Linked DNA regions of Sus scrofa. The protein of the gene in region 5 purifies or fractionates together with the protein of the main gene of each other region. This does not show direct contact. Links are inferred from orthologs where the notes say so. Each region holds a gene or a part of one and is shown on either strand. Other genes may lie near its edges.

Evidence for each region.
Region 1: the proteins of CTNNB1 (region 5) and TCF7 purify together in Homo sapiens (affinity purification with western blotting; 8 studies listed by BioGRID and IntAct, with this or other methods). This does not show direct contact. The link is inferred for Sus scrofa from reciprocal best matches to the Homo sapiens genes CTNNB1 and TCF7.
Region 2: the proteins of CTNNB1 (region 5) and CACYBP purify together in Homo sapiens (affinity purification with western blotting; 4 studies listed by BioGRID, with this or other methods). This does not show direct contact. The link is inferred for Sus scrofa from reciprocal best matches to the Homo sapiens genes CTNNB1 and CACYBP.
Region 3: the proteins of CTNNB1 (region 5) and IQGAP1 purify together in Homo sapiens (affinity purification with western blotting; 3 studies listed by BioGRID and IntAct, with this or other methods). This does not show direct contact. The link is inferred for Sus scrofa from reciprocal best matches to the Homo sapiens genes CTNNB1 and IQGAP1.
Region 4: the proteins of CTNNB1 (region 5) and AXIN2 purify together in Homo sapiens (affinity purification with western blotting; 4 studies listed by BioGRID and IntAct, with this or other methods). This does not show direct contact. The link is inferred for Sus scrofa from reciprocal best matches to the Homo sapiens genes CTNNB1 and AXIN2.
Region 6: the proteins of CTNNB1 (region 5) and HDAC6 purify together in Homo sapiens (co-immunoprecipitation; 3 studies listed by BioGRID and IntAct, with this or other methods). This does not show direct contact. The link is inferred for Sus scrofa from reciprocal best matches to the Homo sapiens genes CTNNB1 and HDAC6.
Region 7: the proteins of CTNNB1 (region 5) and ENKUR purify together in Homo sapiens (affinity purification with western blotting; 3 studies listed by BioGRID). This does not show direct contact. The link is inferred for Sus scrofa from reciprocal best matches to the Homo sapiens genes CTNNB1 and ENKUR.

Annotation. Positions count from the first base shown.
Region 1 is NC_010444.4:136,443,243-136,446,742, forward strand, and holds part of TCF7 (transcription factor 7), read left to right. Parts: intron 1-2,545; coding exon 2,546-2,654; intron 2,655-3,487; coding exon 3,488-3,500. UniProt on the Homo sapiens protein: Transcriptional activator involved in T-cell lymphocyte differentiation. Necessary for the survival of CD4(+) CD8(+) immature thymocytes. Isoforms lacking the N-terminal CTNNB1 binding domain cannot fulfill this role.
Region 2 is NC_010451.4:117,062,855-117,066,794, reverse strand, and holds the start of CACYBP (calcyclin-binding protein), read right to left. Parts: upstream 2,801-3,940; 5' UTR 2,403-2,800; coding exon 2,382-2,402; intron 1,981-2,381; exon of another isoform or gene 1,903-1,980; intron 1-1,902. UniProt on the Homo sapiens protein: May be involved in calcium-dependent ubiquitination and subsequent proteasomal degradation of target proteins. Probably serves as a molecular bridge in ubiquitin E3 complexes. Participates in the ubiquitin-mediated degradation of beta-catenin (CTNNB1).
Region 3 is NC_010449.5:53,107,479-53,110,978, reverse strand, and holds part of IQGAP1 (ras GTPase-activating-like protein IQGAP1), read right to left. Parts: intron 2,631-3,500; coding exon 2,490-2,630; intron 2,398-2,489; coding exon 2,313-2,397; intron 1,235-2,312; coding exon 1,002-1,234; intron 414-1,001; coding exon 281-413; intron 1-280. UniProt on the Homo sapiens protein: Plays a crucial role in regulating the dynamics and assembly of the actin cytoskeleton.
Region 4 is NC_010454.4:12,329,708-12,333,207, reverse strand, and holds part of AXIN2 (axin-2), read left to right. Parts: intron 1-1,734; coding exon 1,735-1,875; intron 1,876-3,500. UniProt on the Homo sapiens protein: Inhibitor of the Wnt signaling pathway. Down-regulates beta-catenin. Probably facilitate the phosphorylation of beta-catenin and APC by GSK3B.
Region 5 is NC_010455.5:25,162,939-25,167,094, reverse strand, and holds the start of CTNNB1 (catenin beta-1), read right to left. Parts: upstream 2,801-4,156; 5' UTR 2,653-2,800; intron 2,629-2,652; coding exon of another isoform or gene 2,208-2,628; intron 1-2,207. Other genes in the region: basic proline-rich protein-like, read left to right, coding at 2,208-2,628. UniProt on the Homo sapiens protein: Key downstream component of the canonical Wnt signaling pathway.
Region 6 is NC_010461.5:42,938,713-42,942,212, forward strand, and holds the end of HDAC6 (histone deacetylase 6), read left to right. Parts: intron 1-1,163; coding exon 1,164-1,338; intron 1,339-1,452; coding exon 1,453-1,847; intron 1,848-1,935; coding exon 1,936-2,040; intron 2,041-2,174; coding exon 2,175-2,321; intron 2,322-2,416; coding exon 2,417-2,545; intron 2,546-2,773; coding exon 2,774-2,842; 3' UTR 2,843-3,182; downstream 3,183-3,500.
Region 7 is NC_010452.4:50,320,609-50,324,108, reverse strand, and holds part of ENKUR (enkurin), read right to left. Parts: intron 2,793-3,500; coding exon 2,647-2,792; intron 1-2,646. UniProt on the Homo sapiens protein: Adapter that functions to localize a calcium-sensitive signal transduction machinery in sperm to a calcium-permeable ion channel.

The DNA.
Region 1 (3,500 bases), on a different chromosome or scaffold from region 5:
CTGAGCCTGGATGAGAGCAGCCTGGGCGGTAAGGATAGATGGAGAACTGAGGAGCCAAGCTTGGCTTCGGTCAGGAAGAGGATGGAGAGTTAGGAAGAGGGCCGGGGGGAGTGGAGTGGCCTCTGAGTTGAGAGGAAACCCGGCGAGTGTGGCATCCTGCAGTCCCGGAGAAGGAACGGCAGCAAGCAGGGAGGAGAAATGAGCTCTGCGCGGTGCTGCCGAGGAGGCAGGTAAAATGGAGACAGAGAACTGAGCCGAGTTCGGAGACAGGTCACAGGGGACCTTGACAGGTCATCTGGTGAAGTGATGGGGCAAGAGACTGCCATGGATGAGAGCAAGGACTCGAGGCGGCGGATGGGGACAGCTCTGCTGTCTGCAGTAAAGGGAAGCAAGCCATGAGGTGGCAGCTAGAGGATTTACAGCTGGGAGAAGTGGCAACTTGTTGGTACCCTGGTGGGAAGCGGTTTGGGCTTGCAGAGTGCTTGGGATGGTGCCTGGCATGTGGCAAGTACTCAGTATGTGCAGGAGTCCTGTGCCACGCATACCCCACACCTGCCCTGGCCTACTCCTCCCTCGCCTCTTGCTAGCCACCTGCAGGCCTGGACATCCCGCCTTCCACCTTCCATTCCCCCCACGCTCCCAGCCTGATACAGGAGTGTTGGGGTCAGTGCTGGGGATCAAGGAAGACCTGAGAGTGACTGGAGCGCCCCCAGCTCACTCAGGAAGCCTGGCCTTCAGACAGCAACAGGGAAGTCCCAGCAATCAAGGCCAGGGGACAGCACGGCCCTGTCGTCTCCGAGTGATGCTGCAAGTGGCTACCATCTCAGGGCAAACCCCTTTTGGTGCAATGAGACCAAAGCGCCTGGCCCATGGGAGGCCTGGCACCAGAGGGCTGGGGGGACACTGTGAGTAGCACTTCCTCTGTGCAGTTCGGGGTGAGTGAGGGGCTTCTTACACTTCCCTTCCTCGTGACACTTGGGTACCTGAGCTCTGGGGTGCTGTCTGGCTTTATCCTCCCAGCAGCCATTTGAGACAAGGTCATGGCTGCTCAGCTATTGTAGTAAATTAGATGCAGGAACTGCTGTGGTGGCAGAACCTCTTCAAGGCTGAGGGATGCTCCCCTGCCCTGCTTCAGGAGGCCAGGAGGGGGCTCTGGTCACAAGGAAGGCATCGGGCTCAGGAAGTGGCTGTGGCACCACATCCATGCCAGCTGCAGAGGAGCCACCACTGTTAGAACATCACCTGCTGAGGGCTTAAGGACAGAAGGCAGGCTGGTTAGCCCTGGTATTTGAGCTTCTCCTCGTGGGCAGATGGGTGAGCGGGGACTGGTAGGTGGCAATGTCAGCAACTTCACCAAGCCCCGAGGGGAAGAGAGGCTCCACTGGAGGCAGCGATGTGGGCAAGCTGGTGCCAGGGCTGTTGCTGGGAGGTGTGGGATCTTCTGCCCACCTGGGAGCCCCTTGCTGCACCCGCTGTGGCTCATCCCTGCCCTTGCCTCCAGCCTCACCCAGACCCGTAAGAGCAGTACCAAGGGACCTGTGCCAGGCTCCTTACCAAGAGCTACCCTGACCTTCCCCAGCCCTGGTGATAAAGGGGTCTTGAACCCCATCCATTTCACAGAGAGGAAACTGGGCCCCAGAGACGTCAAGGCGTCTGACTAAATTCACCCAGTGAGAAATTTCACCTACAGGGTGAGCAGGAGCCTAGACCGCAGCCTTTCCTGACTGTCTTGCCCCAGAGGTAGCCTGTTGCTCTCGTGCCATGGCTCAGAGGTCACTGGACTGTGCCCCAGCCAGCAGCACCCCCACAGGTGGACTCTTCCCCGTGGAAGGTGACCTGGCGCTGCAGATGATGCCTGCAGGGCACTGGCCAGCGCGGGCGCGGGCACGCACTGCGGGTACACAGGCCAGGCCTCGGTTCTGAGCGCACACTCCTTGTTGCTGGGCCTACGGGGAGCCCCCTTCACAGCCTGAACGTGAGTCATCTCATGACAGATCCATGTGACTATAGTGTAAAAAGTAAGAGTCCTGCGGTGCTGAGGCAACAGGAAGTGCGGAGGCCGGGTGCGCTGGCCCTGGAGGGAGCCTGGCTACACCCAGTGCCACCTTGCCTACCTCCCCTGACTTCGAGCTGGTGGTTCCAGAGGTTCCGGCTCAAGCCCCTCAGTCTGGGGGCTAGAGGAGGAGGAGAGCAAGCCCCAGGCTGCCCTGGAGCTCAGGAGGCTCGTGACCAGCTCGCCAGATCAGACATAGGGCCTCAGAGAAACTGAGAGACCTCAGCCAAGGAGACAGAAAGAATTTCTTCCTCAAGGGTCTTCTAGGAGGCTCTCTAGGAGGCTGGACTGCTTGGGAAAGTTGGGGCCAGGGGAAGGGGCAGGACGGCAGGGCCACCAGACACCGGGTGGCCTGGGGCGGGGGGCTGTCCACTGAGGCCTGTGGTTTTGGCCACCTCCACTTTCCTTTGGGGGTTGGTCTGCCCACACACAGCGATCTGGCACCCTTCCTCCTTCAGGTCCCCCCATTCACCCACCCTCCTTGTTTCGCAGCACAAAGCCAGTCAGCCTTCCCACGGCGTCCCCCAGCTCTCTCCTCTCTATGAACATTTCAGCAGTCCGCACCCCACACCTGCACCAGCTGACATCAGCCAGAAGCAAGGTATGGACCCTGGATGGGGAGGAGCCCAAGGATACCCAGAGCCAGAGAGTGGGAGGCTCAAGTCCCTGCCCCCTCAGGCCAGGTGGCTGGACCCTTCCTACAAATGGAGAACCTGGGGCTGTGCAAACCCCCCCCCCCCGCCAATGCCAAAAAGAATGAGCCTGAGGGTACCAAAGGGTCAGGGATGGTGGTACCAGGTCAAAATTTGAAGGCTTCAGGTTAACGTAGGAGCCGAAATCCTGAACAAGCCCTGGGTGCCAGCCTGGGAGTGGGCCTGTGTGTGAAGCTGATAAACACACAACGTGTAGTCTTTCCCTCCCCCAGTGAGAAAATGGAAAGTGGTGGTTGTGATGGCTGATTCACCTCAGCCTCAGGCAGAGTCATTCTGAAATCCGCCAGTGTCGCTGTGGGAAACCTGCTGACTCAAGCCTGGGAAGGAGGAGGAAAGGGGAAAGGGTGGAGCCCTGGCTCCCCAGGCCAGGGGGTCTGCCTCCGGCCCAGAAGGCTAAGCAGGAGCCCCCAGCAGAGGCCCCAGTTGCAGACCAGCATCCTGCTGAGAGGTGGCGAGATCTGGCCTCCCACTCCTGAATGACTCCCACTCTGCCACTGGCCAGCCACTGTCCTTAAGCAAGTCACCCAAACCCCCTGTCCTTGATGCCCCTGGGCTCCAGACGGGGCACTGTTATCATCCTGGCATGGCCCTGGACGAACTCGTCTGTCCAGTCCTCTGGCACAGGGAGGTGGGATCTGAAGAGGCCTCACAGGAAGCTCGAGGATGTAAGCGCGTGGCCTCAGGTCAGGCTAGCTCACTTACTCGGCCCCTCTCACTGCAGGAGTTCACAGGCC
Region 2 (3,940 bases), on a different chromosome or scaffold from region 5:
TTGTTTCCAGAGTAGGGATTTAGGTTTTTTTTAAAAAAGAAAATGTATAAATTCTAAACAATATGGATCCTTTTTCTAGGAGACTCAGAACTCTGTGAATTTAGCAATGTATGCCCAGACCCTCTTTACAGCCAGTTTGGCTCTACAGCACCACAAAAATGAGATATCCACTGTTAAGTCTGAAGCAACTTACAGCAGGCCTGTTTAAGATAATTCCTTAGTTCTCTGTTATTTACAAATTTGAAATGAGTAATAATGATCCCTTTGGTGCTTTTCCTGTAAATATCTTTAAGATGCCTGAGATACAGCAGTTTGTCACCTAATTTCTCTAGGCATTCATTTATCTTCCTTATGCAAAATCACATCTCCTTTTTATTCCTATCATAAATATATTCAAGCTTTCTCTTCTAACTTATTTCCAAGTTCTTCACTAAGAAGCATTAAAACCAAAGTGGTTCAAAACAGGCAAAGGACTTGAGCAGACATTTCTCCAAAGATGTACAAATGACCACCAAGCACATGAAAAGATGCTCAACATCATTAGTCATTTAAGGAAATACACATCAAATTCATAATGACATACCACTTCACACCCACCAGGATGATTAACATCAACAAACAACAACAAACTCCAGCAAATAAGAGTTGCTGAGGATGAACTGAAATTGGAACCTTCATACACTGCTTGTGGGAATGAAAAATAGTGCACTTTGGAAAAGAACTTAGCAGTTTGTCGGTTAACCATATGACTCTGTAATTCCACTCCTCCATATATACCACAGATTTGAAAACCTATGCCCACATAAAAAGCTGTACACAAATATTCACATCAGCAGTGTTCATAATAATCAAAGTGAAAATCAACCAAATGTCCATCAATTTATGAATCAAAATGTGGTATATACATACAATGGAATATTATTCAGCCATAAAAGTATATGCTTCACCATGGATGAACTTGAAAACATAACGCTAAGAGGCCAAAAAAGTCATATGCTTTAAGATTACATTTAGATGAAATGCTCGGAATAGGCAAATCCACAGAGACAGAAAGCAGACTGGTGGCTGCTGGCAGAAGAGGAGTAATGGGAAGTGACCGCCTAATGGCCACTTAATAGGTTTCCTTTGGGGGTGATGAAAATGTTCTTGAATCATATACTGATGGTTGCACAACACTGTGAATATACTAAAAAAAGCACTGCATTATACACTTTAAGATGGTAAAAACAGCGAATTTTATATCAAACAAAAAAACCCCCCAAATGTCCCTAAACTTATACACTGCAATTAGAAAGCCTGTTACTTTGAAAGGGATAAATATTGAGCAACTCGTGTATGTACAGTCACTTCAGAGTCTTTCCTCAGGGCACGTGGTACCCAAAGACCTATCTTTAAAACACATAACAAACTTGTGGCACATTATCCACAATAATACTTAAAACACATACACACTTTTTCATTTAAAGCAAATTCTTCGACTTAAAAAGTCAAATGTGAGGATTTCCCAGTCTTGTTCATATTAAGCAGAAGATTCCCAGGGAGTAAATCTAGTTAGTGGAAACCCAACAATTAACTGTGATTAACAGTATTGTCATTGTACTTAAGCCAGAAAAAAGAGCAAAGCAAGTATTATTATTCCCATTTTGTAATTGCACAAACTAAATCTCCAAAAAGTTAAGCCACCTGTGTTGAGTTTATAGAGCTTTAAAAAAAAGTTACAACCAATTTCCCAATATAGTTATTTTTTAAAACGCACATAGCAAACAATTGTTTTGCCAAGCACTGTTTACAACCCTGTGAAATGGATACCACTGTGGCCCAGAGATGCACCATAACTTGCCCAAAGTATGTGTAGAGAAAACATGACAGAGAATTTAAGTGCTAGGACTGAGGACTTCTCACCTTCCAACTGCCCTCTCAGTGGAACGACTCTCAGTTTTTGCAATCGGCTTTAATTTAACGAAGCTTCACGTCCAAAGGCTGGTGTAAAAGGAGTGAAAAGAGCCTGAGGATAACGTGAAGGTGACCAGCTCTTGGGTCCACGGTTGGATCCACCTGCCGCCGAGAACCGCAACACACCTCCGCTCACCTACAGCGCCGACCGCCGGCCGGGGTTGTGGAAGGCATCCAACGGCAACTTTCCGGGGTAAGCGAAGCCCCGAAGGCCCGCAGTGGCCGGTCGGCACCGGGGCCGCCACAGCTGGGCGGGTGGGAGGCCGCGGGGAAGCGCGGGAACCCAAGGACGCAGGAAAGCTGCCAGACAGGCAGGTGTCGCCGGCAGCCGCAGCGCAGCTCGATAGGGGAAACAGGGCGGTGGGGCGAAGGACGCAGCGGGAAGCTTTAGTAAGGCCGAGGGAGGAAGATGAGGCCAGACCCCTTACCTCTTCCAAAGCTGAAGCCATGGTCGAGCTGCGTCAGGCAAGGCCCGAGCTCCACCGGCACAGGGCGAGAACAGGAACGCCGCAACGAGCGCGCTGATTCCAAGCGCAGATCGCACGGACACGAGTCGCAGTGGCCGTGGCCGCGGCCTGAGAACACGCCCGACTCTGAACGGGAGAGCAGCCGGCCTCCGGCACGCGGCGCCTCTGGAACCTTCGCGAGTCCGTCGCCGAAGGCCCACCCCGCTCCAGCACCGCCTATAGGGCTTGGCCCCGCCCTGCCTATCCTGGCCCCGCCCCGCCCACCTCGCCCCGTAGCAACGGCTCAACTCTCGCGATCAAACCGGCAGTTCGAGAAGAGTAACGCCTCTTCCTTCCCGCCTGGGCAACTGTACGTAATTTACTTTGACCCCCATCGCGCCGACTGCGCAGTCGCAGCTCGAAACCGCCGCTTCTGCTTACCTTAAACCACCCCGGAAATAACGCACCAATCTTCGGGGCCTAAACCGGAAGTTGACTAGGCAGTCGAGTGGTTCGGTGCGCTCTAGGACCCGGGGCCACTTCGTCGGCCATCTTGTCTAAGACTGTGAACGTATGCGAGTAAAGGACGAAAAAAGGGATAAAGGCGAGCCTACGTGTGCTAAAACGGGAAAAAACGAGGACATTAAGTGCGCAGGATCCTGAGGGGAACGGTTGTGTTTTCACTGGGTTCTGGCGCTCTGGGGACGTCAGGATTCAGCGTATACGACGTGGTGGCGTCATCACCGGTCGCAGTAGGAGGTGGGGTTGCGTTGGCCGTGTGGCGGGACCCAGTGGCGGCTCCGAAGCGGAGTAAGCTTCCTAATATGCTGGGCGCCTCCCGGGGTGGCTGAGTTTGCTTCCTTCATCGACCAGTCACCAGATTTGGATTCGATTTCAGTGAGCCTATTAATGTCAAAGAAAATGTGAGCTAAGATTTCCTGAGGCTGCATTCTGCTCCGGTTCTGACTCCTGCAGCCCGGCTTAGTAAGGCCCTTGAAAAACTCACTTTTCAGATAGATTATTTTAGCCTTTGGGGACCTCAAAACGTCTGAAACACGGTTGAGAATGTAGACGGTTACCCCTGAGATGTCAAATAACCCACACTCGGCTTTATCAACCCCAAGGTAAAGATGATCCGCAAGTCACAGAAGGAAAAAAGTACAGAAAAATGCAGGGCCATTATCTCAATAAAGAATCAGAAGTACAATACAAAAACAAATTACTTTTGCACACAACTTATGGACGTTAAGGAAAAGATGCTAGAACTAGAGAAGTTCATATCGTTTGATTCCATTTAAACAAAATCTAAAGCTGTGAGACTGAAAATCAGGTTGTGTTTGGGAAGACAGTGACAGAAAGAAGCCACGAGGGGGCTTTTGAGATTCGGCTAATTTTTTTTTCTTGATTTGAGCCCTGGTTACAGATGTGTTCACTGTGTAGAAATTTCATTGAGCGTCCTTCTGTGCAGTTTCTTGTGTATGTTATTTTTAACTAAAAGTTATATTTAAGTAGGCCCAAGAGGTAATTTTCCTGGTAGAAAT
Region 3 (3,500 bases), on a different chromosome or scaffold from region 5:
CCCACCCATGGGGATTCTGATCCAGCTGGCCTGCGGTGGGGTTCAGGAAACTTCCTTCTTAATAACCAGCCCAGATGATTCTGAGGCAGTTGCAGGTGGCCTAGGGGCCACTTCAAGAATGTTAAGAATAATGAGCCAAGGAGGATAAACAACAGGTAGATGCGATATCAGAAAGATCAAAGGATGGTATGATATTGGGCTTCCAGAGATGGCAAGCAGTAGCCAGAGAAGGCAATTAAGACAGAGCGATGAAATTAAGTAATTAAAGCAAAATGCTTACAGTGTGGGTGTTGATGATTTCGCCAATGGAAATGTAGATCACAGGCTTGGTGAGGGTCACTAAATCAGAATACTCATCCACATTAAATTTATCCTGAAGCTCTGGGACATCACAAGCAGTTTGGAAAAACCGTCTGAAAATAAGCACAGGAGCCAGGCCCCAAAAGTGACACGTGTGAGAAGCTGGAGAGGGGACATCCCACAAGCCTCTGGAGCAGTGAGTTCAGACAGAAGCCAGCCAGGCCAGTTAACGCCAGAGAAACTGTGGCTGTCTGCTGTGCCCGACAGCCTTGGGACGCTGGTCCTCTCTCCGCGTTGTTTTAGTTCTATCCACAAGAGCTGCTCAACCATGATTTCAAACCTCAAAGTTCTCCAAGACCTTAGCGGTCAGCAGAAGCAACTTTCTAAGGCAGCACCCTGAACTCACAAGCCAGTGTTCAATTTACACACATTAAGAGTGCTCTCCAGTTCTTCTCTGATTACGGAGTGACACATGTCTAATGCAGACCGTTGTTTTTTTACATTAAGGACTGTCTATTGCCCAGGAATATATCTTAATGGCTCAGACATCCTTTTCATCTGGAGCTGTGAGCCCAGGAAACATATATCCTACCACCCTGGAGTTCAGAGCATGCTGGATGTGGAGTTTAACTTTGTCTTTCCCCTCAGAGTCAGAAACACACCCACAGAATCTTTTGAGTGCCTTGTTCCTTTCCTCCTACCTGAATTTCTGGTAGGACTGGGAAAGATATTCATTAATGATGCTTAAGTGAGCATTATCTCCCAGAAACATCTTATTGGAAGCTGCGTGCTGCAGCATCTTTGCAATGGAGCCAAGATTTCGGCGTTGGTCTGTGGTGAGCTGGCCTCCTGCTGACAGGTCAATGATATCAAAGGCATCGGGAGCAACAATGGCTGGATTCATGTATCGATAGTAAAGCAAGTTACCAATAATCTAGGAACAGAGGAAAAAGAAATGGGTATTAAAAACCACTCCCGCGAGTAAACCATAAATGACTTTGCTAGCAAAGGAAACCAGAAAATGGGGTCCTGTGAGGAAAAAGCAAACACTACGCACACATGCACACACATTTTCTCTCAAGCCCTGAAACTAAAATGGCCGAACATCCCCTGGCTGGCTGCAGGGAAAAAAGTGAATGAGAACGGAACTCAAAATCACAACAATGAAAGAGCAGGTTCAGAAGGTAAAAATGATAGACTCAAGGTCTGTTATTGAGCCTTTTAGGGCATTCTTTGTTCACATATAATAGGGCAGCAAATAAGGCTGCTGTCAACCACATGCACTTTTCACTTTTATGTAGCTGGGCTTTCATTCTAAGAAACTAACAAACACAGCTAAAAATACATCCTTAAACATGACTTAATCAGCACAGCACGTCCAACCCCCATCATCCTCATGCTGCAGACTTCAAAGGCAGACAAGTTCATGCCTCTGAAATTAAAGTCACTCAACACACATCTCTTCCACAGAAGAATTCAGGGACAGTCGCACTTCCCCTAGAGTTTCATTCAGAAAAAAATAAAATTAATTCACCTGAACAGAAAGTCTAGAATCGAGGCCTCAGTGTAGGAAAGCACAGAACTAGGAGAGAAGAAAAAAAGCTTTCAGATTAAAGGAAAAAAAACAAAAAAAAGAGGAGGGAGCATAGCTGAGTAAGAAAGAATTACCAGCAACAGCCTTAGCAGAAACAATGGTGCTTGCTACCATTCACCTCGCCACCAGCAGAGGGAGCAATTCTTCAGCGAAAAGACAGGACTCAAAGAAGTTTATCTTAAGAAAATCTGTCTTCTCTACTTGTGTGATGTCTGTGTGCCATTCGAACAATATACAAACTACATGGGAACTAGGACAGGTATCATTTAACACAGGTACTATTTATAATCGCTTTCAAAACTGACAAAATCTATGCTTAGGCACTTACTAAAGGTCTAAGGTCAGGCCTGGTCTTGTAACCTTTCCTCAAAGGGCTATTATTGGAAGGGCGAGAATGTGCCAGCTTTCGGAGTCTTACCTTCAGCAGCTCATCCTCACCAGCATCGGGGAATTTCTCATGTAATGAGTCCTTCAGCACTTTGGCAATGAAGCGCATCCCGTAACTGTGGGATGGACAAAACTTAGTGAGAAGGGCCAGGGAGCAGAGGGCCACTAATGCTGGGGGCTATTTGGGATCACAGCTGATGGCACTCACGGGATTTTGTCCACAGAGCTGATGATGGCTGCGAGGAACTTGTCTGTCACAGCCCGCATGTTCCTGATGGAGTTGTCTAGCCGTGTCCTGACTTCTTCATGAGCCAGAGCCTGTTCTGGGGTCACATCATAGGGCAGTTTGCTGGAAAAGGAGAAATGATCCCCAACCATGTTAGACTAACAGCCAGGAAGAGCCTGAAGCAAGACTTTCCTAAACAGAAAGACCCAGAGGGATTAAGTGAGCTTCTTCTGGTCAAAGAGCTGGTAAACAGTGGGGCAAGAATTGGGGCTCAGGTTTGCAACTGTGAATTGGGTGCCTGGAACTACTGCCAGGCACTAAGACAGGCACTTGGGATAAAAGGTACTAGAGACATGAGAGCTTCTTGAGTCTCTTACAGTCTGGTGGGAGACACACACAAATAAGTATCTGGAAACCCACAGTGCTACAAATAAGACACTGACCAGAGGTACCATGGTGCCACAGTGCCACCTTCCTCTACTCAGGACGAATGAAAGAAGACCTCCATAAGGAAGGGACATATGAACTCAGGAGAAAGGGAGAAGAAAGGTCTTCTAGGAAGGAAGGTCAAATGCAAAAAAGGGGAGAGAACGGAGAAATAAGGGTGCAAAAGCGGCCAGGTCGTAGAGGGCTCTCTCTATTACATAATGTTAAGAAGTCTGGACTTTCCTAGGAGCCAGGGAGAACCATTAATAAGAGATCTGAATTTTGGGGGTGATAGTACTGGCCCACCACTGGAAATGAATTAAAGATGGACAGTCACAGATGAAGGAGCTGCAAGATTAGTGCCACAGTCTGATTAAGAAATGATGAGGGCATGAACAAGGATGCAGCAGTGAGAACCAAGGACACAGACCTGAGAGACATTAAGGAGCACAGTCAATGGGACTTACTGACCCTTTGGGTGTTAATGAAGGAGGTGACAGCTATATATAGGAACTGAAGCCAGAGGAGCTGATAAGATCACTCGAGGAGAGGGCACTAAGCCTGAAG
Region 4 (3,500 bases), on a different chromosome or scaffold from region 5:
CCTGCCTGCCCCACCCCTACTCCAGTCCCACCTGGGGACACCCCCTGGATCCCACAGGCTGCTGGGAAGGCCTCAAGCCCCGCCCCCCAAGCCAACCGGCCCCGCCCCCTTCTGCTCCAGTCTGGGGAGGGCTTCTCACTGCTTTTCCCTTCCCTGCTCACCCATCTCCATTCACCTGCTCCTACCTGTCCCAGGTGAGCCTGTCCCAGGGAGCCAGCCCCCAGCCCCCCAGCCAGTCCTTTCCATCACTCGCTGGACCAGAGTTTTATCTACCAGGTCACTCGTCCTACCTCTTAAGCTAGACCTTTTTCAAACCCGGAGGCCAGCCTCTGTGTTAAGAAGCAGCAAGAGAGGTTGAGTGGGAGCCAAAGAAATCAATCCCACACCCACTGGTTCCAGCTTTGTGATCCAGGGCAGGCCGCTGTGCTGGTGGGACCCCCAAGGGCACATCTGTAAAATGGGCACAGGACTCTTTCTCCCTGGGGGGGGCTGTGAAGATGAGATAAGGTGATGTGTATGAAGGTGGGCCCCTCTTTGTGGGCCCATGATAAGTGGCACCTCCCTTGCGGCACCCCCGCCTCTATGGGAACCCAGCGCTACCAGGCCATGGATGCTGGGGCTGGGTACCCCCAGAGTCCAGTGCAGTGCTGGACACGAAGCGCATAGGAGCTCGGTAGACTGTGCAGAAGACTCGCTTTGACCTTCATCTGCCAACCCCAGGGCCCTTTTTACAGGCCTGATGGTCTAGGTTCCCTTTTTTCTGGGCCTTTCCCTCCTCCTGCAGCCCATCTCTTTGCGGTTGGCTTGGACTTGGTGGGCCCAGTGGAGCGGGCCAGGGTCTTGGTCAAGAAGGCCTCCGGGCTGTGCAGGCCTCTCCCTGTAGCCCACCGACCACAGCGGTCCCTTCGTCCTCCAGCCTTCCCCCACTTCAGTCCCTGGCTGGTGACCCAAGAGGAATGCAGCCCAGCAGGGGCCAGGCACACTGGTTGTTCTGGGAGGAGATCAAGAGGGCAGAGCTGGGGAGGCAGAGGCCACCGGAACAAAAGGGCGGGAGCCACTGGAGGAGGGGCCTGGACCTTCCTTTGAAACAGCTGTGCTGCTCATTTTAATCCTGCGGCCTCGGCCAGCCCTGCGAGGGGGAGGCCCGGTGGGGGCCCAGCTCAGAGTGGGATGGGAGGGGGTCTTAAACTTTGTCCCAAACATCTCTGTCCCATCTGTCAGCTCGCTGGGCCCAGCCTGGAACAGAGAAGGACCAGCCTCCAGTTGTTTGCATCTCAGAGCTGGGCTCACGGACCTCAGGCGGGGAGTCTGGGAGCTTAGATGTCTTGGGACCCCCAGATTGTCTTCTTCCCGTGCAGGCTTGGGGGTGGGGGCAGGGAGGGGGCAGCCACTCCATCGCCACTGGCCCATTCCCCCGTGTTGCCCCCGCCGCCCCGGCCTCCCCTCCAAGAGCAGCATCCTCTGCCTTCCTCTCTGTATGAGTCTGGGCTGCCTCTGGGGTCCTCTGTGCCCTGGCAGACCCGCCTTTGGGGGCAGAGGAACCCAGCCTGCTTTCTCCCCAGGGTGAGTCCGTGGCTCAGCAGGGCCCCTTTTGTGGCCCCTGCCTTCTGCCAGAGGCACCCCTGGCCACAGCCCGCAGGTTGGCCTTACACAGAGGGTGGCCGTCCTGGGGTCACCTGGTCCTCGGTCCTTGGCGAGGGTCGGTGACGCCCTGCGCTTGTGCTTTCCCCACAGGTCCTTCAAGAGGAGCGACCCCGTGAATCCATACCACGTGGGTTCTGGCTATGTCTTTGCGCCGGCCACCAGCGCCAATGACAGCGAGATCTCCAGTGACGCAATGACGGATGACTCCATGTCCATGACGGACAGCAGCGTGTAAGTAGGGTCTGGTCTCCCCGCCATGTACGCGGTTGGCCGAGTGACCCACTGGGCCAGCAGGGGCAGAGTCCTCAGCTGTTTGCTGGGAGGGGTGGGGCTGGTTTAAGAGGCTCACGTGGTCACCTGGGTTCCTTAAGCTTAGAGCCTTGAGTGAGAAGGTGAATGGTACCTTAACAGAAGAAAACCAAAATTAATTCGATAGAGGGTTAAGAGGAATATCTCCAGATTCCCTGAGTTTTATCCTGCCCTCCCTGTGGGCAGAAGTGCTCGGCTGGACTTGAAACTCAGGAGTCCTTTCCACAGGGACTTGGAGAATAGACTTGTGGCTGCCGGCGGGGCGGGGGAGATGGACTGGGAATCTGGGGTTAATAGATACAAACTGTTGCCTTTGGAATGGATAAGCAATGAGATCCTGCTGTATAGCACTGGGAACTGTATCTAGTCATTTGTGATGGAGCACGATGGAGGATAATGTGAGAAAAAGAATTGTGTGTCTGTGTGTTGTGTGCACGAGCGCGTGCGTCTTGGGGACGCTTTGCTGTACAGTAGAAAATTGACAGAACACTGTAAACCAACTATAATGGAAAAAATAAAAATCACTTTTATTAAAAAAAAAAGAAAGACCAAAAGAAAAAGAAACCCAGGTGTCCCACACACAGAACCACCAGGTGGGACCCAGGGTGGCATTGGAAGGGTTTGCATTTTAGGTGTTGATTGTTGTGGAAGGAAAAGGCCCTGGACGTGGGAGCCAGGAACCCCGAGTTCTCTGCAGGGCCAAGCGTGTAGTGCACCCTCATGGGCCTGCTCCAGTGGACACCTTTGGCAGGGTGCCTGCCTGCTTGGTCCACTGGCGGTTCCACCCCTCGGGGTGGGTGGGGGGGGTCCTCTCCAAAGGAGTGTCTGATCTTGGCCCTTTTGCAGATGGATGACTGGGATTTCTGAATGCCATCCAAGCCATCAGGGTGGTCGGCTGAGGTCAGCAGGCCATGGGGCAGGGTCATGCTTTGAGTTGCAGGTCATTCGAGGTCACACAGCGGGGACCTCTGGATGGGGAGCAGTGACTCTGTGAGTAGTCCCAGGTGGTGGTGGGGGCTGGCATCCTCATCTCCTGCCAACCTTGGAGATCCTGGTTCGGGGACTCGAAGGAGGTGGAGCCTGGGCTTTGGGCAGAGCTCCCTGAGAGCGTGTCTCACAACACCCGCTATTCTAGAAATGGTCTTTGAAGGCTTTCCTGCAAATATTTTGGAGAAGGATCTTCTGCTAAGGGAACAGTTTTCAAAAGCAAACCTATTGAGCTCTTGTAAGTTCTGGCACACTGATTTCGAGTTTGTTCTTTTCAAGTCTCCCCAAACTGGACCGTCTCTTCTTCCAGTTTGTTTGAACCAATCTGGTTTCTATTGGCCAATGATCCATTGCTTGGCCTGCAGCATGGAACCAGAGGGAAGGAAAGTGGATGAGGTTGGTTTGGGACTCTACCACTGATTTTCCTGGTGGCTTTGATTGTGTTACCTCAGATTCCCCTGTTGGTAAAGAGGGGAGGGAAGTTTAAGGGGAAAAGTTCCATCTGAATCAAAGACTAGCACTTAGGCACCAGTGAAAGTGGAGAAGGGTGAATACACATC
Region 5 (4,156 bases):
ATCAAGCATGCTTCCACCCTAGCTCAAAGTACAAACTTAAAATTTACCACCTACTCCTCTACAATTATTATCAGTAACTAGTAAATCATGAAGAGAGAAACAAAATCCTATTGTAACTGGATAGATGTATTATTTCAATAACACAAGTTTCACTGGCTGAAGATACTTATATAGTCCATATCTAGGGTTTTAATCTCACTGCTACTTTTAATGACAGAGAATCAAACTTTTGAATTCTCCACATCCCCAGTTTTAATAATACTTCTGCTCCTCTTTTCACCCCTCCCAATAAAAAAAAACAGTATTTGCAGATAGTTTTCCTGAAAGACCAAATCTCAAAATACCCTTAGAGAAATATGCCTAATTCATGTTTTCCTTCCTATGGGGGGGGGTGGAGGAGGGAAGTATCTATGAAAACAAAAATACACTACTTCACTTACATGGATAATTTTTATTCCAGTCATCACTGGCAACAGTAGGAAGTTCAATTCAGCTTATGTTTTAATACTGGGATCCATACTTTTCTACATAATTATCTTGGTAGAGGAAGTAGTCGGATAACGTTTCAAAAGAAAACTCTTGAATACCTATTGACACTTGAACACTGCTAAATGTTTCTTTTTTGTCCTTTTTTTTGCCACTTTATTTTTAAAAATTGGTTTTTCCTGAAAGCTATCTTAAATGATTATTCTAGCCTATGGAAAAATCTAAGCCTAGAACTCCACAAGGGCTCTAAGCTACATGCTATACTAAACTTTCTAGTTTAGTTTTTTTATTTCCCCCTCAAGGACCTTAGACTTGAATAGTCTCAGCATTCCTTTAATCCTATAGAAGAGTCTTCTGCAAGTTTTTCGAGTTACTGTTGCAATCACTTTAGGGCCTTGTACATGGCCTTTAGAACAAAGACTAGGTCAAAGTAATGAATATTGGGTGCAAATTAATCAAATTTTGTGCAAGGATATTCTCAAACGTTAATGGCACTTTTTTTTTTAACCCAGAGATTTTGTGGGTTTAAATGTAAAAGTAAAATAAATGCAGCCATCGCCTTAGTTCAGACAAAAAAAAAAAAAAAAAAAAAAAAACCCACAAAAAACCCTCCAAAGTATGTTTTTGTCACTGATTTAAGCAGATACTAAACAGTAGCATTATGGTAAATAATATTTCAAGCTATGTCCAACATTTCTGAAGACAAGTTAAGGTGAAGATAGCTGAAGGTACTGAATGCACACCAAGGGACAATAACGAAATGGCTTCCTAAGTTCCAGACAAAATACTTTATAACTCAGCGATCTGAAAAACATCAGTCCAGACTTTATCAAAGGCTAGCCGTCGCTTCAAGTTGCTGTCTAGTCTAAGCCACCACTATTCACGACACAAAGCTCTCGTTTCACTAAAACCACTCCTCGATTTCCTTTTGCGGACCTCTGCATACCAGCAGGCCAGTCTCCTCATTCACCACTCACAAACTCGGGGGGGAGGGGAGACCACAGATGTCTGGAAGATACAAAGTAGGAGACAATGCTCCCTCCAACAGGGAACTGAAAACGAAGGAATCAACTACACCCAACTGCCAAAGCTTTCAAGTTTAGCGGATCCAGTAGCGGGCTTTGAGAACTGAACTTCGAAACTGCATTCCAAGTCCTCGCCCCAGACAAAACACGGAACGAAGTTGCAACGCTTGAATTTCCTTCGGGCAATTTCGTAGCGAGGGAAAAATTCATCTCGCTGGAAAGTGCTCTCAAAATCAAGTTTAGCTGGCATGAAATTATCTAAATAAAGAATTTCCACGAACAAAATTCTCGAAGCAGTCAGAGGCTGAGTCCGGCGGGTCACTTGGTAAGAGACAGTAAGCCAGTCGCCCTCGCCCTTATTTTTCCCAGGACCTTCCTTGCACACTGCTTTCACTCACCTGCACCGTACAAGAAAATAAAGGTGCTAGATATGGATTTTATTTGTGCAACTCCTCCTGGAGCATCGCTCCGTCTGCAATAATAGTTTGGATCCTCTACGGTTTAAAGTTGCTCCGATTTAAACAGGAGCCAAAACCAAACACACCAGCAGAGCATTAAAATAATACTAACGATTCTCTTAATTCGTCCTTAAGCACGAAAGAGGGACTCTGAAGAGAAAGTCTACTGGTCCTCTCCTCATGGCAGATGGGACCTCGGGTCCCAGGCCCAGCGCCTGTACCCCAACTCCCCTTGAAGGCCCGGAAGGCGGAGTCCCCCGTCCCCACCCCGCCCCCCACCCCGGCCCCGGCGCATCCAGAGGCGCAGGGTCCCTCCCCCAAACTCGGCCGCGGCCGGAGCCCGGGACGGAAACCACAGACCCCCCTACTATCCCCCGCCAGACAACGGAGCTCCCGAACGCGCCCTCGCGGCGCCCCCTCCCCGCAAGCGGCAAACCCGGGGCCCCCAAAGAGCCGCGCGACCGGAACCCGGGCCCGGCCGCCGCCCTCCGCCCCTCGGGCCGGGCCCGCCCCCGCCGCCTCCCCGGCGCCCCCAGTCAGCCCCCAGCTCCCCACCCCGGCCCTCCGGGCTGCACCGGGCCCGGCTTCCAGCCGCCGCCGGGACCGCGCGCCCGCGACGAAGTTTGGCTCCGAAGAGGAGCGGGAGCAGCCCCGGAAGGGTAAGGAAAGGAGCACCCAAGCACCTCAGGGGAACAGGCTCCTCCCGCCGCGGGAGTCCGACCGTCCTCGGCCTGCGGTGGCGGCTCGGCGGAGACCGGAGCTGCTCCTCGGACCTTCCTCCGTCTCCGCCTCCCCTCGCTCTCAGCTCCCGGAGCCGGGTTAACGCGGCTGCCACAGACCGAGAGGCTTAAAATGGCGCCGCACAAGGAGCTCTTATAAGTCGCGCAGAATCCGCTGTATCCTGCCGCCAGCGGCGCAGCGCGGAGCGTTCCGCCGCGCGAGGACAAGGGGCGGGGCGCGGGCGGGCGGCGGAAAGTAGTCCCCGCTCCGCCGAGCCGCCCGCCTCGGGCTGGGGCGGGGCGCTTGCGAGCTCTTCGGGCGCTCCCGGGGGTTAGAGGCCGGCGGCTGCCGGGCCGCGCGGGACCGCAGGACAGATCCGCCAAGGCGCTGTCGGCCGAGATGGGGCGGCCAGGGCACCCGCGGGCCGGGATGGGCTGGGGGAGGGCGACCCCGAAATTCTCCACTATCGGGATCCCGAAGCCCCCCGGCTCTCACTCGTCCAGTGCCAAGAGAGCGGACGCTGGACTGGCCGCTTGCTGCCCGTGGGAGGCGGCACCCGGACCCCGGCCCTACGAGGCCGAGCGGCACAGGTCCCAGGAGGGCGGAAGTTCGGGACCGGGCCAACCGCAGTGCTGAGGTCGGGGCCCGCCCGCTCCCGGCGCTGCCGGGCGCTGCTGCTGCCCCTATGCAAGTCGAGGGACCCCGGCGCGATCGTGCTTTCGCCGTCTTTGCGGTCTGGGCCCCAAGCTCTCTGCAGGACTTGGCTCCTAGCCGAGCCGCACATTACCTCCACGGTCTGAATCGTAGATTCCGCATCCCTACCGGCTTGAATCTGGAAGTGAAGTACCGGGCCGAGCCTCCTGTTAACCCAATCCCAAAGACTGAACTCGTGTTAGAACGGGCGCCTAGCCCGCAATTCAACAAGTCCTTAGTCCCTACTGTGAACAAATGACTGATAGAAATGGACTAGCTCTAGAGCCCTGTCAACTAGGTTAATTCTTACAGATTTCAATTTTATCTGGTTCCACTTTACTAAGTATCAATAAATTTGTTGGGGGAGGATTTTTCCTCGGAGGAAGTTCATGTATAGATATTACTTAGTTGAGAAATCCAAGTTGTTGTTTATGGAAGGAGCTATCAGGCAGCTTCTAATTTTTAAAAACGAATTTTCTATTCTTAAAAACATTTTCTAATTCGTCCTAATAGGCTGAAGCTGGGTCTTCGTTTCCCTTCGAAATGTCTCCATTGTAATCCAGCAAGATTGGCATTTGTCAAAGATGAAAAAATTATGATCCATTCACTTTGTCTAGTCTATTGTATGCTTATTTTTCCTTCAAAACAATGAAGAGCATACAAAAAGCAACAGTGAAAGTTATCTTCAGGCTTTTATCCCTGTAATTAATGCATGCAAACAATAGGTCTTTATGCATAGGTACAGACAGGAAACCTATTTACTCATTCACTCAT
Region 6 (3,500 bases), on a different chromosome or scaffold from region 5:
AGCATGCAGAAGTTCCTGGGCCGGGGCTCAAACCCGTGCCACAGCAGTGACCCAGGTCGGAGCAGGGGCAACGCCAGATCCTTAACCTGCTGAGCCACCAGGAAGCCTCTAGTAGCTTCTTATCAAGTATTGTTCATACATTAGTTTAACCTTCTCAGCAATGTACTATACTGTCACTTTTACTCCTTTACAGATGAGGACAATAAGTCACAGAGATATTAAGTGGCTGGTGAGGTGTCCCCACTGTGTGCCCAGGCCTGCTTGTGGTGGAGCAGGGTGGTGGGCTCTTTCCTCAGATAGCCCGGGTTCCTACCTCAGCTGACCAGCTGTTAGGACCTCACACAAGTCATCCAACTACTCTGAGCCTCAGTTGCTTTATCTGCAAAAAGAGCAGAGACAGGGGTTCCTATCGAGTATAAGAAAAGGGGATTCCCGTACCAGGTCAGAACAGAGATTTGTGGAGTTCCCATCGTGGCTCAGTGGTTAACGAATCCGACTAGGAACCATGAGGTTGCGGGTTCAATCCCTGGCCTTGCTCAGTGGGTGAAGGATCCGGCGTTGCCGTGAGCTGTGGTGTAGGTTAGATGCTGCTCAGATCTCGCATTGCTGTGGCTCTGGCGTAGGCTGGCGGCTATAGCTCTGATTAGACCCCTAGCCTGGGAACCTCCATATGCCACGGGAAGCGGCCCTGGAAAAGGCAAAATACAAAAACAAAAACAAAAAATCAGAGATTTGTGTGGAGACACCAGTTCCTGTACAAGGTCAGGGCGGAGGCTTCTGTGCAGGTGGGGCCAGGGGATCCCATACCAGGAAGGCGGGTTCCCACACACACTGAGCACATGCGGTTGTGAGGATTCAGTGCTTAAAATAGGGTCTGGCACACAGCAAGCTCTTAACGGAAATCAGCTCTCACTAATGTTGCCATCAGTGTGGTAGTGGCGGTGGTTATTATTATCTTACACTTTACAGCACACTTTATCCCCCTGAACAACTACCGCACGCAGTGGGTGCTGTCCACCTGACAGATGTGTGTTCTACTTACTTGTCCCCAGTACCCACCCTCCAGACTTGCAGGGCCCCCAGGGAGGCAGGACATCCAGTCTCCCCAGTTGTCTGAGGACCTCGCCCCATCATACCTTTCCCTCCTCTTTTCCTTAACAAAGGGTGGCTATAACCTGATATCCATCTCGGAGTCCATGGCTGCCTGTACCCGCTCCCTCCTTGGGGACTCACCACCCCTGCTGACCCTGCTGAGGCCCCCACTCTCACGGGCCCTGGCCTCGATCGCCGAAACCACCCAAATCCATCGCAGATACTGGCGCAGCTTGCGGGTCACAAGTGAGGGGGCCTGGGGAATCGGGGGGGCAGTGGGGGCTCAGGGGAGGGCAGGGATTAGAGGCAGGAGAAGGGATAGCACCCCCACACTCAAGGATCTCCCTCTCATGCTTCCAGAGGTCGAAGACAAAGAGAGACCCTCCAGTTCTAAGTCGTTCGCCAAGAAGCCATCCCAACCAGCCAAGCCTAAGCCATCCAAGGGGATGACCGCCCCAAAAGGGGACATTCCGGAAGCACACACAGGGAAGGCCACCTCGGTATCATCAGTGAAAGTGTCCCCCCCAGGCCAGACGAAGTCAGAGGCAGCCCTAGTGGAACTTACTCAGGACCAGTCCTCAAAGGCTGCCACAGAGGAGGCTGTGGGAGGAGCTAAGCTGATCCAAAGCCCTCCAGCCTCGGGAGGTGACAACCAGACTCCTCCAGCTTCTCCACGGCAAGGATCCACAACTCTGATCTCCCCCAGCAAGCTGGTAGGCAATCTCGGAGCCTTGGAACTGAGAAATGAGGTTCAGGTAAGGCCCCCCCCACCCTCAATAGCAGGGAGAAGGGGCAAGAATCAGGCCTCCTGGATACATCGCTTGTCTCCCTCCTTGTATCCAGGAGTCCCCAAAAGAGGAAGGGCTGCTAGGAGAGGCAGCTGGAGGTCAGAACATGGACAATTTAATGCTGATGCAGGTCTTTGGAAACCAAGCTGACACTGACCAGGTGAGCTCAGGCCGAGGCTAGAGCGGCGGCTTCCTTCTTTGGCCCGTTTGTGCCCCCACATCGGAGCGTGGGCTGTATAGGAGCATGTCAGGAGGAGATGGCATCCCTCGCTTACTCAGTGTCACCCACCTCAGGCCATGTTCTATGCTGTGTCACCACTGCTCTGGTGTCCACATGTGGTGGCAGTACGCCCCGTACCTGAAGCGGGCCTGGACGTGACCCAACCTTGTCAAGACTGTGGAGCACTCCAGGAGAACTGGGTGTGTCTGTCTTGCTATCAGGTATGGCACCGAGGAAGGGGCAGGGTGGCAGCCGGCCATGGAGCAAACCACAGTGGACCGCTGACCCCCACCCAACTCGCACTCCCCAACCTTAGGTCTGCTGCGGCCGTTATATCAACGCCCATATGCTCCAGCACCACGAAAGCTCAGGCCACCCCATGGTCCTCAGCTACGCCGACCTGTCTACCTGGTGTTACCCCTGCCAGGCCTATGTTCACCACGAGGTGGGCCCTGGGCAGACTCTATAACTCCCGTACACTCGCGCACACCCCTCTCCCCGCCCCCCCAGCTTTTGCGATTGGGTCAGGGGCGGATGGAGACCCTTCTGCATGGGGGCTAATGCAAGGGAGAAGGCAGTGGAGGGCTGGAGGGGGCGCAGCGTCCTGGCTGAGGGAGAGGGGTACTCACTCTCTCTCCCCTCCCCTCTCTTGCCTCCTCCTCCTCCTCCTCAGGCTCTCCTGGCTGTGAAGAACATCGCCCACCAGAACAAGTTTGGGGAGGGCGTGCCCCACTCCCGCTAGATCCCAGAAGCCTCTTCGCGGGCCTGCTTTACTCCATCCCAAGTTGTACCTTGGAGGAGAGGCAGCCTCGCTCCCCCCATCCTGAAGCCCCTTTACCACTCCCCAAGGGTGCCGCCCGAAGTGTAAATACTTTTAAGAGGACAGTGACGATCACTTGTACGTCTTTCCCTGCTCACTGCCAGCTCAAGGGACTCCATCTACTCTGCCCCCGAAGGAAGGGGCGGCAGCACAGTCACCCCAAGGCGGGGCTGATGTAAAGATGATACTTTGGAGGGAAGGGGGGATGACTGGCAGGTCTGGCGGGGTGGCATATGCAGTAAAGTACAAGCTGTTACAAAAACCTGGAGAAAGGCTTTGATTTCGAGTGGGTAGAGAAGCCCATGCCCCTGACCAGCAGGGCTGATGTGTAAATGAAGGCATGAGGGCGTGGGTCTTTCTCTTGTCAACCCCCAGCTCATCCAGCGCCCCCTCAAACTAACTGCGAGTAGAACAATAGTTCGACTGGCTCCACAAGGGATTAAATGGTGGAATCTGTGAGAAAGTAAGTGCCCGCCTTAGATATAGGAGCCTCCCAGCCGGTCCCAGCTACACCCTGGGCTGAGAAGGCAAGAAAACTCCCTAGGCCTCAGTCTCCCCACCTGCTTTTTGGTCTTGATTG
Region 7 (3,500 bases), on a different chromosome or scaffold from region 5:
AGATACAGGGAGAATACAGCTACCTACAATCAGGGAGAGATGTCTCAAAAGAAATGAAGCCAGGAAACACCTTTATCTTGGACTTGAACTCCAGAATTGTGACAAAAATACATTTCCATTTAGGCTACCCATGTTTGTTATGTTAGCAGCCCTAGTGACCAACATACCTCTGATAATTCCATACCCCCAGAAATATTATAAAGGAGGTTTTGAATATTCATTAATTCATGCCATATATTTATGTTGAGCAATTACTATGTCCCCAGGTAATGCTCTAGGAACTGTGGATACAGCAGGTAACAAAAGAGACTGTCTCCATTCTCATGGAGTTTACATTATAGTGGGGGGTGAAAAAAGAAAATTTAATATGCAAAATATAATATATATATTTGCTTGAACTATACATAAAATTCTTCACTGCTTTTGACCTACAAAAATGGTATCTTCTTTCTATTTAACATGTTACTGAGATGTGAATATTGTCAAAAATTGAAATAAGGAGTTTTTACATGAAGCCTGAAGCAGAGACTAAGCCTTCCACAGCCCAAGTAGCTCCTTTGTATCAGATACATCCAACCAAGTAAGGATGGCTTAAAATGTTTGCCTAAAAAATCAGAGGCATCCATCTTCTAGATATTCACATGGGAAACATTTAGAAGCCAAATTTAATTATTAGCTGAAAGTGCATGCAAATGACTCCTCTAACTATAGCTTTAGAAATGCATTTCTGAATCCTCAGAAAATGAGGAAAGAAAGACTGATAACTCATTCTTAGTTGAGTAAGTAAATTATAAATCTTGGTTTATGGTTTGCATGGGATGGAGCCTAAGCCTACCCCCTTCTTTTGCTTATGTTATATGTATCTAAATGTCATCATGTCCCTCATCCCAGGAAGTAGGGGTTGGCAATGAGAGAAGGCTTAGAAAATGGGGTGAGGCTGTCTCTTCACAAATTATTTGGTGGCAGTGATACTAAATATGAAAACTGAATGACGTGGCTTTTTTAAAGGTTATAACAACATGACAATATCAACACAGCCTTGCAGTCATGCAGATGTTCCACCAGTTGAGACATGTTCATGGACCTGTTAGTTATTTTTCAGTGTGTCTAGAAAATTACTGTGCTCAAAATGGCAAAATATTCACAGACAGATTGGCAGCAGCCTTGACATATATTACCTTTAACTTTGTCTCAGTGGACTGGGCTTTTAAAGCCCTAGAATTTCTTAATTATTCTTAAGGTGAATGAAATTTTGTTTTGCCTTATAATGTTTATAAGAGGAGAGACAGACTTCTTCCTCTTTTCCTTATTTTCCTGGTAGTCTTTTCCCTGATATATATATTCTGTATGACCACATAGAAAACTGACTACCTAATTTGCGAGGCTCAGTACAAAGTGAAAATGTGGTGCTCTTGGATAAAAAACCATTAGGAATATCAAGATGGCAAAAGCAGAGGATTAAACCAAATGTGGGGTCCTTTCAAGCGTGGGGCCCCGTGTGACTGCACTGGTAGCATGCCCAAAAAAACGGCTCTCACTCATCAAAGCTCTTCCACTGCATTTAACTCCTTCATTGCCCTGACAGTCTTAGAGATCTGACAAGAGTTAAAAACCAGTCAAGGCTAAAATGAGCCTGGTAGTTGCTTCGACCACTGACTATAACAGCTGTTAAGTTTTATCTCTTGGAGGAAAGACTAGACAGGGTTTAGATCCTGACCAATCTTGCCCACTGGGATTTAGGATGCTTCTTATAATTGTTGTTTGCTATTGAAGTGAAATGGCTAGGGATGAAGATGGTGAGGCATGTGGTGCTGGAGATGGGGCTTTACTGAATAGTCGAAGATGAAGTTCAGATGCCTGACCATCAAAAGGAAAGTCTACTTGGGAGGCAACTTAGCATTGCCCACTCTCTTTTTCTACTACATTCTCTCTTTTTGTAGAGCTTTTTTTAAAATGTATTTTTAATTGACATATAGTTGATGTACAATATTATCTGTGCCACAGGTGTACAATATACACAATTTTAAAGATTCTACTCCATTTATAGTTATTATAAAATACTGACAGCTGTATTCCCTGTGTTGTACAATGTATCTTTGTATATTATTTTATACCTCATGGTTGGTACCCCTTAATCCACTACCCCTGTATTGTCCCCCTCTTCTTCCCACTGGTAACCACTAGTTTGTTCTTTATATCTGTGAGTCTGCTTCTTTTCTATTATATTCACAAATTTACTGCATTTTTTAGTTCCACATATAAGTAATAACATATAGTATTTGTCTTTCTGTGACTTATTTCACTTAGCAAATACTGTCCAGGTCCATGTTGTTGCAATGGCAATATTTATTCTTTTTATGGCTGAGTAATATTCCACTGTACATACATGCTACATGCTCTTTATCCATTCCTCTGTTGATGGGCACTTAGGTTGCTGCCTTATCTTGGAAACTTTAAATAATGCTGCTATAAATATTAGGGTGCATTTATCATATTCTTGACTTCTATTTTCTCCTAGGCTCTCAAATTCTGTTTAATACAAGGTAGAGTTGCTATCACTGTAAACATTCAATATTCTCAGACAAAATAATTTTAGTTAAATTACTTATTAACACTTTTAATATTAAAAAGAATGATAAAACCTACTGGGTGGTAGAGTTTTTTCCTTAGAGTGTTTCTTCAAGAAATCCTTTGGAGAAGGTACTTCAAGTTTTGCTGGTCCCATGGTTTTCATTGCAGTTTTAAATTTCTGCATGTCATCTTTTACAGTTGCCTTAAAAATTGATATGTACCTAAAAATAAAAAGTTATAGAATTTATATTTGTAAAAAAATTATTTAAAGCTTAAAAAAGAATATACTATTCTAATTTTTATATGTGTATATTCATTTGGAGATAGCCATAAACTAGTTTTCTGTATTACCTGAGCCCTGTCCATCAGGCTGAGGCAAGATAGTTGGAAGTTTTACCCTAAGAAAAGGTGCCAGGGTAAATATTGTCACAGTAGCTCCTTATTATACTTTGAACACCTTAGTTTCTATAGTGAGGTCACCTTTTCCATTGCTGACATTAGTAATTTGTGTCCTCTCTCTTTCTGCTAAGTATAACTTTTTAAATTTAATTGATCTTCCTAAAGAACTTTTCATTGATTTTCTCTATTGTTCACATGTTTTCCTTTCAATGATTTCTGTACTGATACTTACTATTTCTCCTAGTTTGGAGCTTAATTTGCTTTTCTTTCTTTTTTAGTTTCTCAAGGTTGTAAGCTTAGGTATTTGACTTGAGACCTTTATATTTATCTAATAGAAGCTATAAAATTTTCTCTAGGAATTGCTTTATAGCTGTATTCACAAATTTTGATATGCAATGCTTTCATTTTCATTCAGCTCAAAGTAACTTAATTCCCTTCTGATACCTTCTTTGGCTTAGGAGTTTAAGATGCGTTTTGCTTGGTCTCCAAATATTGAGGGATTTTCCAGATACCTCTCTGATTTTTAATTC